Linked DNA regions of Rhinolophus ferrumequinum. The protein of the gene in region 1 purifies or fractionates together with the protein of each later gene. This does not show direct contact. Links are inferred from orthologs where the notes say so. Each region holds a gene or a part of one and is shown on either strand. Other genes may lie near its edges.

What was found. Proteins that work in one complex are often made in the same cells at the same time.
Region 2: the proteins of KPNA3 (region 1) and KIF22 purify together in Homo sapiens (affinity purification with mass spectrometry; 3 studies listed by BioGRID and IntAct, counting the BioPlex papers as one, with this or other methods). This does not show direct contact. The link is inferred for Rhinolophus ferrumequinum from reciprocal best matches to the Homo sapiens genes KPNA3 and KIF22.

The regions. Positions count from the first base shown.
Region 1 is NC_046287.1:87,819,882-87,827,022, reverse strand, and holds the start of KPNA3 (importin subunit alpha-4), read right to left. Parts: upstream 3,103-7,141; 5' UTR 3,088-3,102; coding exon 3,032-3,087; exon of another isoform or gene 3,018-3,031; intron 1-3,017. UniProt on the Homo sapiens protein: Functions in nuclear protein import as an adapter protein for nuclear receptor KPNB1. Binds specifically and directly to substrates containing either a simple or bipartite NLS motif.
Region 2 is NW_022680357.1:825,945-833,813, forward strand, and holds the start of KIF22 (kinesin-like protein KIF22), read left to right. Parts: upstream 1-4,841; 5' UTR 4,842-4,896; coding exon 4,897-4,954; intron 4,955-7,869. UniProt on the Homo sapiens protein: Kinesin family member that is involved in spindle formation and the movements of chromosomes during mitosis and meiosis. Binds to microtubules and to DNA. Plays a role in congression of laterally attached chromosomes in NDC80-depleted cells.

The DNA of each region.
Region 1 (7,141 bases):
CCCGATCAAGAAGTTTCCAAGCAACTCTTTGCTACAGTCATATTCTCAGACTACCACGGGCCATCTGAAGTCTCATCTCTTCACTCCTTAACCTAATCTCTCTTCTTTTTCACCTGGATCTTTATTCACTAATCTCTCATGTGCCGTTCAAGTTTGGTACATATTTCCTGTAAAATTCACCAACCTCTCTTCTATGAAGCCATTCCCGACTGAATATGAAATTACTTTCTCAACCCTCTCCCCACTCACAATTCTCCGACTTAACTCTATATATTTTTTTTTTTAGAAAATGTTATTTATTATATGTAAGCAGCACATAGCAACCTTTGTCTATCCTATATGTGAAAGGTAAAAACGGTACCTCAGCAAAGTATACCTCACTGTTTGGAAACAGCCTAATAATCAGAACTACTTAGTCACAGAGCTACATTGTAGTGTAAGTTTCTAATGTAGTCTAGTTTCTAATGGGTAAGACTAAATTAGGTGTGGTATCTAGTCTTAGCTATACCTAAACCCACAGTAAAGGAACTTGATCAGCTTCAACCGCAGTTCACCCTTCAGTCACATCTCTAGCACTCCCTTCTCTATCAGCAGTCCTACTGCGTTCTCCTGGTCTCAATTACTGCTCCCTCAAGTCTGGAATGCCTCTTCCTCGCCCTCTCCCTTTCTCTGGCCAACTGTCTTTCATCCTTCAGGATCTACTCACTCCCATTCATCCACTAGGAATCAACCAGAACTTCTCCCTTGACTGCTCAACACCAAGTTAGGATCTTCTTACGCATTCTCAGAATATACTTAGTGATGTACTGTATTGTAATTATCAGTTTACTTTTCTATCACTTTTACTGAACTATAAACTCCTTGAGGTACAGACTGAAATTTATTCCCTTTTGTATCCCCAAGACCTGACTGTATTAGATACCCAATAGACAATTAGTGAATGAATGTTCATACCCACTCTGGGACCTTGTGCAGGCTACACAGGCATGCTTGAGTTTGCCCATCTAAAGTACTTTCCTCCTATAAAGTGGGTATAATGCTATACCTAGCTCATAAAATTGTTATTAGGATTAAATGAGGTATCATGAAGCTCTCAGTAGTGTCTATCACATAGAACTACCATTTGAATGTCTGCTATTTCATGCCTTAGTTACTCCAATATATGCTGGGAAATGTAATGTTGTTGTGACCAACATTTTCAGGCTAAAAGGTTTAGCAATCATGCCTGTAGAAGTCATTGGTTACATTCTGGTCATCAGCAAATATTTATTATACACCTATTACGTGCAGGAGTCCTTACTAGGTATCACTGAGATCCCAGAACACAATAGAGGCAAATAATAAGACAAAAACCTGTACTAATATCCAAGAGAGGGAAGAATGTTATTAGTTCTTTTGTACAAACAATATGGGTATTTGTCAGACTACATAAGTTCTGCTTTATAATAGGGGAAAGCTTCAAGAACAATTACTGATAGCAAAAGTTCAAAATTAACTGCTATCATCACGTGGACTAATAATTGGAGGCAGTTCCAAAATTTCTTGTTGCTATTCCTAAATTTCACTTTTGCTTAGAAGTATTTTTCACACACACACACACAAACACTTAACCATGACCAGAAGACAGATGACCTCTAGTTGTCTCATTCAAATGGGAATTCCACAGTATTTCCTTAGGTTTTTCCATTTAGTATTAATTGTGTAGCTCTGGAAAAATGGCCTGAGTTTTTTTTTGTTTTTCTACAAAACAGAACGCTGGATGGTAAATTTTCCCCAACACTTCTCTTTAAGAGGATAAAATGTACACTTCTTATTCACACTGTCCCTTTAACAAGAACTACAAAACTGCAAACCATGTCACCTGGTATTCGAAAAGGAGCTTGTGGACTTAAAACCACTTTTCCCTTAACAAATTCAGAGGTCAGAGTCCCAGTGAAGTTTGTGCATTATACTACGTTGCTTTTAGTGGCTGCAGAGAGACCTCTAGCGCTGCCTCAATAAGCCGAGTTTGCAAATAGTACCTGCTAATGTCACCTTAATGAGACAATGGCAACATGCTGTGTAGCAACGAACTGAGTGACCACATTAATGTTTACAGTTTTGCAACCACATGGAAATTCTACCAGCTTGGAGCAAGAGATATTTACACGGCCGTATGAACCTATGTATCCAATTTATTTCAGTAAAACATGTCAAGGAAATTATCCAGTGCACACCCCCACTACAAGTAAGAAATGCTAAGAAAACAGGTCCGGTGAGCGGAGGTCGGAACAACGTCGCTTCCAAAGCCTCAACACAATAGATGGTAAACTATTGTCCACCTTCAGCTTGCTTCCAAATGCCCGCAGTAACAGGAGTGTGGGCTGGAACAGCTCAGCACGACTGGTCCAAAGGACAGCACTGGAATATAAGAAAACGGTCCTGGCGCATCCTACCCTCCCCCATCCACCACCCTCAAACAAGTCAGTCACCCGGCTGGTCCCCACCCCCCTCTGCGGGCCGCCACCGCCCGCCTGGGCCCGGCTGGCAGAAAGTAGGCGCGGAGACCGGCAGAGACAGGCTCCATGTGCGGCAGCGCGGGAGGCACCAAGGAGGCTGCGCCGGCGGAGGTTTCACCGGCAACCGGTGCTAGCTGCGGCCGCCCCTTCGGCGGCGCGATCGACAGACCTGGGCGGCAGCATCCCCGGCCCGCGAGGCCCTAGCCGCGGACCCCGCCTCAGCTCCACATCCCTTCCTCACAGACAGCAGGCCGCGCCCGCGTGACGGGGCCGAAAACCCCGGCATTTCCCGGTCCCCCGCGCCGGCAGCTTCGGAGGGTGGCTACAGCCGGCCCGCGTATCCGTCGCCCGCTCCGCCCAGCCCTGGGCCGCGCTGATGGGAGGCGGCGGCCAACTCCGACCCACCGCGAGCCGGCGAGAGCCAGCCCGGCGCCGGCCCCCCGCCCCTTCCCGCCACCGCGGGGCCGGCGCGGCCAGACGGGCGAGCCGGGCGGGCCCAGACCGCGGAAGCACACTCACTTCCACATCGCGGCCCCTTGTTCTTAAAGCTCTTGATGCGGTGGTTCTCCAAGCCGGGGTTCTCGGCCATGGTTGCGCGCGGCTCCAGCGGCGGCTACTCCTGCGGCTGCGGCGGCGGCGGCGAGTCTCGGTGCGGGAGGGGGAGGAGGGGGAGCGCGGGAGGGGGAAGGGAGGGGGAGGGGGAGAGGAGAGCACGTTCCGTGACGCCTCCGAGCGCGAGGTGGCAGCAGCGCCGGGGGAGGCGCTGGCCGACTGCCGGGCGGGGCGGGAACCGCGCTGAAGAACCGCGCGCTCCCGGGTTGGCTGGGGTCACGTGCCCAGGGTCGCCCCGGGCCTGGACGCTCGCCCTGCTGTAAGTGCCAGGGGTTTTCGGGATGACCCCCCGCCCCCCACAGCAAGGCCTCCCCACAACCCCTCAGTGCTACAAGTCTTGTGCCAGCAATGGAGCCAGACTTGGCGGCTTTTACTGCCCCGCCCCAAACCCCGAGCTGTGGACGCAAACTACAGTTCCCAACATGCCAGGCTCCGGCGGTCTAATGCTCCTGGCCTTGACAGAACCTGAAGGCCGGGAATCCTAAGCGCGCGGCTTTCCGCGCGGCGCGCCCGGAGAGCCCGGGCCGCAAAGCTCCGCCCCAAAGACCGCCTTTGGGCGGGGGAAGTGGGAGGAGCTTCCCCGGAGATTGGGCATCTTGTGCCCTATTGGGAGAGAGGGGGCGGGGCTTCTCTGGAGTCTCCTGAAATAGCATCCACCCTCAATGGCTGGTCTTTTGCCCTGCTTTGGTTTTATAAATAGCTTTTATTTCCACCTGACATGTACACATGTATGTATATATGTTTTGTATGTGTGTGTTACCTGGCATCCGCACGGGAATTGAGTTCAGTGAGAAGCAGGGGCATTGGCTGGTTTATTGCTGAATCCCTCGCGTCGAAACAGTGCTTGGCTCGTGCATACTCAATAAATACTTTGAACAAATTAGTGTTCTAGCGCCTATCGGTTTCTTCATCATCCTTCAAGCCCGGTTCTCCAACTTTCACTCTGGCAGCTCCTGCATTTCAGTGCCCCCAACACCTCTTGTTCTGCCACCACACGTAGTCTTAGCTTTCAGGAAGCAGTCAAGCCCTGGTCGGCAGACTCCCATCTGGCTTCTCTGTTTAGTGTCATAGGAGGGCCGGTCAAGGGAAATTTGGATCCATACTACTAATAGAGAGTTGCTTTCTGGAGCAGGTGAGCTTCTTTGGTTATATGTGAAAGAATTCAGTTTCAGAATCTCTAGCAGAGAGAAGCAGGTATTTCGATGGTTATAATATAATTCAATTGACACTGGGGTTATTCAAAGATTGGTAGAAACATAACCATAAAGAGGTTAAAGAAGACATTCTTTCAAAGCAAAGGGGCCTTAAAGAGCCAGAGGTCCAGGGGTCATGAATTCAGAGTCATTTGGTGGCTGAACTTTGGGACATTTGTTTTATGAGTGGTGGAGCGTGGCCTGTTGATAGACACAGTCCCATTTAAAGGCTTCAGACCACTGTTGCCATGTCGGACTGTGGGCCAGTCTTGCCAAGCTCCAATTTTTCAAGGAAAACCAAAGCTGAGTTATTTTTTTTCATTTTTAAATGTCGATTCACATTTCTTTTCTGCATTTCACTGAATAAGTCACTTGAGAACTCCAGGCCCTCACTATGAAATATCTGATCCCAGTCCAACCGCTCGTTTAAAGGGGAGAATACACACACACACACCTAAAGCTTAGAATAAATGGATTAGCATTACTTCAACTATAGTTCTTAAGGCAATTAAAGTTGTGTGTTTGAAGCTCTTCCCAAACGGGAGAGAAAAACTTCCAGACTGTTGTTCAATCTCTATTATAACTTATCAAGGCATTCTTTTTTCAGGTTATTTTACCCCCTCTACCACTTCTCTTCATCCTATTTGCTGTTATCCAGTGTGTAAGTGTTTCATCATTTTAGAGTTTTAGACATATTTAGTGAGCACTTACCAGATGTCAGTCATTGCCCTCACACCAGGATATATTTGTAAACAAGACAGCCTGGTTCCTGCCTCTGCATAGCTTTGTGTCTATCAGAGTAGACAGGCAATAAAACGAGTTCTCACCCCAAAAGTGTGGTGAGTGTCAAGAAACAGGAAGGAAGCTCAAGACTCATAGCAAGGAGATCTTTGTAACATGATGATTCCTGTGACTCCTAACATAGGAGGATAAGACTGCAAATGGATGTCTATATACTTGTATCACATATTTAAGTATTTAGAAGTTACAGGTCAAGCTTACAAAGTCTAATTTTTTTTTTGACATTGACAAATGAATGTTCTTTACAACCTGGATGTCTGGGTTTGAATTTAAATTTCCTGACTTCTTGGACTTCTGCTTCAGGGTGTGGTGGTACAAAGAGGCCTGGAAGCCACCTCCCAGCCCACTTTTTTGTTCCCCTTCCGTCTCCTGGCTCCATCCCACACTGGAATAGACCTTAAGAACATATATGTATACCCTTACCCACAAGGTTCATGTCCTGCCTCTCGCTACCAAAGCTCTATTTCCATCCCCCTCTCTGCCTCAAGAGATGCCCCTTGGCCATTGCTCAGGCCTGGAGTGTGCAAAGCGGTAGCCTCATGAGCCCCCAGGAAGATGGACTCGAGAAAGCGGTCTGGGAAGATCCTGAAAGCAGGCTTGACCATTTGAGCAGGAATCCCAGGGCCCCGGTACCCAGAGCTGGGCCTTGAGGCACAGGTTCTAGTGAATGTGACCTGGTGGCCCCATGAACTCCCCACGGGGTGGGGTACATCAGGAGAGAGCCAGAGTGAAGTCCTCTAAAGGGTAGGGTCAAGATCAGGGGCCCCTCTTGCCTGGGTCTAATGCAATAACTTTTACTCTTTGCCATTTTCCCTAGTGACTTCAACATACACACATCTGCTACTTTGGCCTCAGAGTCTCCCCATATTCTTAACTCCACCAAATTTCTACCACTTGTAGCTCCCACCAGGCTTTGGAGGCCTTAATGTCTGAGAAATGACACCTCCAGTGACTCAGGTTTGGGCTTCTCATTGTTAGCAACCATCCCTTTTCCCTCACTCTAGTCTTCACCTTTGCCCTAAAACTTCTGACAACTGTTCTAAATGGAGTTTTCCATATATATACATATATATATATATATATATATATATATATATATATATATATATATATATATAATTTTTCTAATCCACCATCTTGGACCTCCTCTCCCAAACATATTTTGAGTGTCCATCACATGCTAAGCATTGTATTCATTAGGCACTTCTATTAAGGGACAGGGGAGTGCTGAGCAGAGCAGAAACAGAAAGGAAGGGCCCTCTGAGTGGTCAAACTCTTCTTCCTCTGACTCACTAAACCCACCTTCCCAGCGGACAGGCAAGTGGCAGTATGCAGAGAAGGCAACAAAATCAACAGATGCCAAAAGGAGCTCATGATTTTCCTCCCCAGTCAGCTCCTTCTGCAAATTCACCAACTCAGTTAATAGCCTAACCATTCTTCCAGGGACTCCACTCAAGCTTGGAGCCATCTTTACTGCCGCCCTCTCTCTCAACTCCCTCACCTAGTCTCCATATTAATTCGCCATTCAACGCTCCCAGAATCCAGCTTTCTTCCCATGCCCCTCACAAGTCTAGTTAATGCCTCCTAACCGATTCCCTTGCTTCCTCTATCCTCTCCACAAAAATCTGATTCACCTCTCCAGATCTTCCTGATTTTATCTCTTCTCCTCATATTCAATATATCTCTTCCCCTCCACCATTGTCTGTCAAATCATTTCTAAATCCTCGGTCTGATAGTTAAGATTATGTGTGACCCAGCCACAGTGCAATACACTCTTCTTATTTCTGATTCCCCCACACATAGCTTGTGCTTTATCTTACGTGGTCTATCACCTTTCCCAAATATGTCCTAACCTTTCCAGCCTTCATAGCTTTCCCGTTTGATTTACCTAGAAAGCCCTGGCCCTATCTTCCTGTCAAAATCGGTCCCTCTTTAAATACTCAGGCCATGAGGTCACCTTCTCCGTGAAGCTTTCCCAGCACGGTACAGTGGAGGGACCTACAGAATCTGAACACTCAGACCCTACGGCTGACTTCC
Region 2 (7,869 bases), on another chromosome or scaffold:
CTCACAGCTTCGACGTTGCCAACACCATCCTCAAAAAAGGGCATTCCAAGGTGGGGAAGATCGTCCATAAGGGGATGGTGAGACTTCATGGGAGGCATTCAAGTGACTGGGGAATATAAAGCTGCTTTGGAAAGAATTTTCAGGACTCTAGGTCTCAGTCCTGAGACATTTCTTCCCAATTAGACAAAGATAACAGTTATGTCCATGTTGTACATATGTACAAAGGTTATAAAGAAATAGTAACATTATAGAAACAAACTCACGCCTAGCCTGTTTTTATAACCATTCCTTTCTTTTAAACATTCAATTCCGTGGAATGGAATACTATGTCACTAATTATTTTTTTATTGATATACGTCACATAACATAAAATTCGCCCTGTGTGCCATTTCAGTGGTTTTGAGTATATTCACAGGTTGTACAACCATCACCGCTCTCTAATTCCAGAATACTTTCATCACCTCCAAAAGGAACCCCGTGCCCATCAAGCAGGCACTAGCCATTCTCTCTCCCAGCCCCTGGTAACCACACATCTACTTTCTGTCTCTATGGATTCGCCTATGCCAGACATTTCATACAGATCGAATCATGCAACGTGGCCTTTTGTGTCTGGTTTCTTCCACTGAACATGTTTTCAAGGTTCATCCAGGTTGTAACATGTGTCAGCACTTCAATCCTTTTTATACTTGAATCTGACAGACATCGTAGGGCAAGAGTGAGTTTCTGGGGTTTGGGGACCTTCTAGCGTCATCATCCAGTTTAGCCCATTCTATGTTCAATCTGTTGTGATATTACGTATTATATAGACTGTGGAACACACTGGACACTTACGAGAGTAAGAATGAAAAGGCAAATGACATCTTAATGCTATTACAAAAGAGTTTTAACTTTGCAGAGGCCCGGGATCCTGCAGGTCACATTCTGAGAATCCTTGAGCTAGGGATTACAGTATTTTGTTTTCTTTTAAACGTTACTATACTATTCTTTTTTGTCTTCTTGACACCCTCTGTAGAGCAAGTCTCATCACTCTAGTGAGCACATCCAACCTGCATGCACAGTAGCCACCAAAGCTTACTTCAGTCCTCACTGCCCTCAGGAAAGGGACACTGCTGGGCCCCTTTGGGTAGTGCCCCCGTCCCCACCTCCACCCCCATCCCGTGGCTCTTACATAATTGCATGTGAAGGAAAACGGGTGTCCATATGGGCAGGCTGGCTCTGGCCTCCTGGCCACCTGTGGTGCTCCATTATCTGAGGTCTCCGTCTCCACCTGGCCCTCCAGGTGGGGTCCTCTCTTTTCCAGCCTCGCTCTCGTCTTCAGCACTGCCACTGTGCCTTTCACCCTAGATGACCCTCATTTATTCTCTCCAGGCTTGAAGGACAGAATCACCTGCCTCACTCACCAGTCTCTTGGCAATTTTCAGGGCGTAAACTCTATATTCTACTTTCCTCTGCTCTCCTTCGTTTCTTCAGGGTTTAGTTTGGAAGTTTAAAAAAATATATATATTTCTTTCTCTGAACACCAGGTGTTTAACAACCCTAATTTCCACCAGGCAGATGCAGACCTTGATTCCCCCCTTCCCTTAAAATTCTGTTTACTATCTTGTCACCGTCACCCACTCCCACACCCCTCTCCCCACAAAAAATAAACTCCAGGAAAACGGGGATCATGTCTGTCTTCTTGTTCACCATGGTACTCTACCACCTCCTAGGACAGTGGCTGGCACACTACAAGCAAACGAGACATTGGGTACTGAATTATTTTATTTTCGTTGGATGTCAGGTGTTAACAACCCTAATTTCCACGAGGCAGATGAAGATCCTTAAACCAAGTCTAGGAAGGGGATTCAACCATTATTCTCTTTTTCACAGCTGAGGAAATGGAGGCACAGGGAGGCTCTCTACCCTGGGTTACCTGGCATCAAAGCCCTGCACCTAAGCTACTTATTCATCCTTAGAAGTCCTGACTCCCTGACCTGTGCTCTTTCCAGGATTTCTGGCAGGTATCTCATCAAATACCTGGGGACTGGCAACAACTCTGAAAACCTGAATAGCCCTTGCTGAAGTGCAGGGGAAAACCAAACTGCCAGTCCTGTAATTCGGCGGTTCTCAAAGTGTGATCCAGGAAATTCTGGACGTCCCTGAGACATTTTCGGGGGGTCTGCAAGGTCAAAACTATTTTCATAATAAAAGAAGATGTCATTTGATTTTTTTCACTTGCATCCTTTTTTTTTTCTTTGAGTGTATGGTGGAGTTTTCAAGAGGCTATAGGATGTGTAGTATCACAACAGACCAAATGCAGAAGCAGGTATGAGAATCCAGCTATTTTCTCTTAAGCCAGACATTGTTAGATTTGTAAAAATGTGAAACAATGACACTCTTCTATTTTTTTTGTTTGTTTGTTCTTGAGGGTTTTTTATCCTTTGGAAACTTTTTAAAATAAAAATATTACTTACATGTGATGTGTTTGTTACTGCAATTTTGGGGCAGATTTTTAAATGGAGATAAATTCACATAACATAAAATTTACCATTTTTAAATGTACACTTCAGTGTTTTTTAGTATATTCATTATGTTATGCAACTATCACTACTGTCTAATTACATACAAAACATTTCCATCACCCCCAAAAGGAACTCCATGTCTATTAGCAAAATCCAAATTCACCAGCCCCTCACCATCTTCTGGCAATTGCTAATCTACTGCTTCTATGAATTTGTTACCGTAGTTTTTCAGTGTATTAATATTTTAAATTTATTTTCATTTCAAATACAGTAAATATGGATAGACAAAACCCATACAAGCAAAATAACTTTGGGGCTTCAATTTTTAAGAATGGGATTCCAAAGCCAAAAAAATGGAGAACAACTATAATTTACTTTTTGTTTTGTTTTATAATAGGTTGGACATAACGTTTAAACCAGGGCCCTACGAGGAGCTCAAAGATGAGATGATCACCCCTGGTTAAGTTTCCAGAAAGTATAGGGAACTACAGGGTGTGATCAAACAATACGGTGAATGTTCATATAAAAAAAATTCATTACAGGAGCACCGGATGATTCAGTTGGTTAGAGCACCAGCTCTGAACAACACGGTTACCGGTTTGATTCCCACATGGGCCAGTGAGTTGTGCCCTCCACAACTAGATTGAAGGACAACTACTTGGAGCTGATGGGCCCTGGAGAAACACACTGTGCCCCAATATTCCCCAATAAAATTTATTTTAAAAATTTATTACAGTAGGAGATACGTTGCCATTAATCCCCCTCAGAAAACTCCCCCTCGCTTTGCACACACTTATCCCATCATTCTTGCCACTTTCTGAAGCAGTTCTGGAAGTCCTCTTTCGTGAGTGTCTTTAGTTGTATTGTCGTGGCTGCCTGGATATCCTGAATCATTTTGACTTCAGGGAAGAGCCAGAAGTCACACGGTGCCAGATCCGGTGAAAGAGGACACACCGTAATGTTTTTATTGAACAGAAATTGCCATACCAGGAGCAACGTGTGACACAGAACATTGTCATGATGGAGGATGATTTATGGCACGCTTTAAAACACAGCTACCTTCTCTCAACTGTAGCTCACTTCCAACCGACTGCACCAAACAAGTTGAAACTTGTCACACACTGTTACTAAGGTTCCGATGTGCAGCTTCCCATATTGAAGATCCCTGCCTTTCTGTTGGATGGCACTCGGCAGCAGCATTCACTGTATTTTGTGATCACAACAGTAAGGCTTCATGTCACACATTGCTTCTGGTATGGCAATTTCTGTCAAATAAAAACATTACAGTGTGTCCTCATCCACCTTATTCACCAGCTCTGGCACCGTGTGACTTCTGGCTCTTTCTCAAAGTCAAAATGACCATGAAAGGAAAATGTTTTGAATTGATTCAGGACATCGAGGCAGCCACATGACAGCACAACTAAAGATGCCCTTGAAGGAGTACTTCCAGAACAGCTTCAGAAAGTGGCCAAACGATGGGATAAATGTGTTCGAAGTAAGGGGGAGTATTTTGAGGGGGGTTAATGGCAAGGTGTCTTTTACTGTAATAACTTTTTTAAATTTAACCATTACCATGTATTTTGATCACACCTCATACTTAACAGCCAATTGGGACCCAGACCAAACATGCCTTTTTCGCTCACTCTCTACATGTTGAATGCCGAATTACAAAATGCCGGACATCCGAGCTTGTCTCCTTGGCTCAGACACGCGACATAAGGGGGCACATATGTCACCTGGCTTCTGCATCTCACTTAGTGGCTTTGGGCTCAGCAAGAGGTTAGTACAACGTGACTGTTCACAATGCCGCAGGGCGCACCACGCCTACAGAAGTCACCAGACGTTAAAGCACAAGCAAAACGACGTCCGAGGCGATAAACGGTAGAAAGTAAAGATCGCCCCCAGACGTCCCTTATTCTTATAATCACCTTTTCTGCCACGAAAATAGGGAAAAGTGTATTCAGTTCAGGGAAGTTTTTGGATAAATCGATTAAGTGCCTTCGATCACCCTCTGCTTGATTCGAACGAAAATTCGTAGTTAGTGGAGGGGGAAAAAAATGAGGCGAAAATTCTGCACTTAACGCAAAACTACCCCTCGAAATTGGGCGGCGCTCAGCAGCTCCCCCTACGGCCACTGTCGCCAAGGCCTCGGGCTCCTAAGTTTGCGCCGGAGCGCGGGCCCTGACGTCACGACGGGATGGCCAACGTGCGCGCATGCGTCCTCCGCCGGGGAACCCTTTTTCGTGCAGGACTCGGAGGCGAGCCCTAGACGGCTGATAGGTGCGCGCCGCAGGCGGGACTTCCGCGGCTCTTGGCTGTGATTGGTGGAGCCTGGGAGAGTGGGCGGGGCACCGGGAAATTCGAATGGGAGAGGCGGGTCAAAGGAGGGAGTGGAATGGACGCCCGGAGCCCGTCGCAACTGAGGCGACGCGAGATGGCGGCGGTTACCTCAGGTGAGCAAGCCCGGCCCGGGCGGGGTGCCGAGGTCTGGAACCTGGTGGGGTGATGCGTCGGGGTCTAGTTCAGGCTCCGCGGGTTTTTCCGGACAGGCCCGAGGGGCGTGGGGCGCGGGGAAAGGCGGGAGTGTGGGAGTCGCCAGCTGGTCGGCCTGCCTCGCTCTGCCTTTGCTTCCCGCTCTCCGTCGGGGGCAAACCCGGTTCCGGCAATAAAGCCGCGTTGGAGCCCAGCGCACGTTTCCTCTGGGGGCTTCGGTGTCTTTGTCTGTGAAATGGGCCGGGGACCCCTCCTCAGGCGGTGACGGGAGTGAGCGAGCGAAACGCGCTTCACGCTCTCATCGTCGGGACAGATGAGAAGGGAGCTGGATGCGCGTTTGGGGGAGTCCTGTGGAGGACGTGTTGTGGGGGTCCGGGGAGACCCCTGAGGGATGGAGGCGGACAGGCCGAGGTTCAGACGGGCTGCCGCTGAGGCTGAGGGGACAGCAGAAGAGGGAAGTAAGGGGCTGTTTCCTTTCATTCTGGCCGTGGGGGTCAATGCTATTTTAGGGGTGGAGAGGCCGTGGAGGACGGTCGGCATCTTGTACGTGAGCGTTTGTGTACGTCGGTCTCTGCTCTCTTCCTGGAGACTGAATTCTGGTCGGTAGTTACGGGGGGCACCGCAGCCATGATTATGAGTCCCCTCCCGTTCGTCAGGAATGTGGGGGAAACAGGGCGGTTGAGAGGAATGGCCAACACAGGTGGAGCCCCTGCCGGGCACCCGTGTAAGCCCTGGACGGTGATGAAGCGTTTCATGTCCACCTGGTGCTATGAGGGGTTCACTCCTGTGGTCCTTGTACAGCTGAGGAGACTGAGGCAGAGATGGAGTCAGTGTTGGGGTGTGAATTCACCCGCAGGCAGCCTGACTCGAGAGCCTCTGTTCGTAACCTTTCTGTCCAGGCACACGATCGTGACCTTCCTGCTGTCTGCGCTGCCCCTGCCGAGACCCGCTGTGTCGGGTGCGGAGCGGGGATGGTAAAAAGGCTTGAAGGAATGTGGGCCCTTCCCTGTATGCGTTTAGTTCGCTTCAGTAGATCGTCATAGAAACATGCGCGATGGGACAGTTAAGTTCGAGAACTTGTCCTAGAAACAGTGCTCCATGCCTCATGGCTGAATATCACTACGGTCACCCTGGAAGGACTCCCCTTGGGAAGCTATGCACCGATGCCAGCGCCTAGTCCACCCTTCAAAGCGATTTTGGAACTCTTTTTCTGGAATGGCCATCAGAGCTGTTGTTATATTAGCTTTGATGCCCTGAATGTCATCAAACTATCTTCCTTTCAATATTTCCTTTATCTTCAGGTAAAGAAAGAAGTCATTGGGGGCCAGATCAGGTGAGTAGGGAGGGTGTTCCAACACAGTTATTTGTTTCCTGGCTAAAAACTCCCTCACAGACAGTGCCGTGTGAGCTGGTGCATTGTTGTGATTCAAGAGCCATGAATTGTTGGTGAAAAGTTCAGGTTGTCGAATTTTTTCACGCAGCCTTTTCAGCACTTCCTAATAGAAAACATGGTTAACTGTTCGTCCAGTTGGTACGAATTCATAATCCCTCTGATATCAAAAAATATTAGCAACATCGTTGCAACAAGTTCGCAAACTTAATTGTTCGACCTTTCTATAACAGGAAAAGCAAGGAGAGATGTATAAACTGCCATAGAGAGTACAGCATCTGGAGTAAACCCTTGGGTATTCTGGGAGGATTTTCTTAAGGAAGTGATGTTTGAGGTGCGTTTCAAAGGTTGGACAGGAGTTTGTCAGACCTTGGCAGGACAAAAAGACTACCAATTGATTTCTTGTTTATGATGTAAAGAAAGGCCAAAGAGGCTCTCTTTGGCTCAATTTCCTCATCATATAAGAGAGAAAAATTAAGTTGAATGAAACATGGGAGTTGTGGGGAGGGAAAAATTAGAAGAAATAAGTGCTGGCTTCGCTCAACCTCAAGGTTGCTTTTCTGATGAAAGGGAGAAACTCATGTTCTGTAAGCACTTGTTCACATGCTCTCCCTCCCTCCTCTCCTGGACTGGGAGCTTTGGGGCAAGAATGGCAGTGTGCCACTTTGATGATGAAAACAAAAAATGAACAAGTACATGTTTTATGTTACTTTATTCACCAAGTCTTAATTTGTTCAGCACGTACTTCCTGTGAGCCTACCCGGTGCCAGGCACTGGGGATATAAAGGTGAGCAGAGTAAGATCTGTTTTCACTGAGTTGCCAGGTAGATGGAGAAGGCAGACAAATATGCAGTTACAGGGCAGTGTGATCCGTTCTTGGATGGAGGAGCTAAAGAGAGTGACGGGTGCACCTAACAGCTTTCGTGGGCCAGTCATTTTATCCGGGAAGGTGTTTTTTAGAGGAAGTAAGGTATGTGTGCCTCAGTCACTTGGGGAGCAGGTGGGGTAAAGAAGATATTCCAGGGAGATAGAATAGCAGGTGCAAAGGCCCAAAGGTGTGAGAGAACTTGGTGTGTCGTGGGAACTGAAGGAAGGCGCTTACAGTGTAAGGAAGTGGAGAGAGAATGATTGGAGGGGAGTGGGACCAGTTGGGAGACTGTGGAGATGGTGATGAGTGTGGTAAAGATTGCGCAGTGGGGATAGAAGTGGATGCATTTAAAAAGGTAGAATTGACAGACGTTAATGAATAACTGATGTGGGAGATGAGAGAGAAGGTGGAGTTAAAGATTCCCATTTTTGGGGTTGGCCCCTTTCATTTATGTTAGAGAGCATAGGAGAATGAGGTTGCAGAGAGATGGGGAAGGGGTCAGAATAGGGTGGGTGGAGTTTGAAGTACCCGCCAGCAGCTGGGAATGTGGATCCAAAGGGGGGAGCTCTGGTGTGGAGGTGTCAATTAGGAGTCCTCTGCTTTTAGGTGGTAATTAA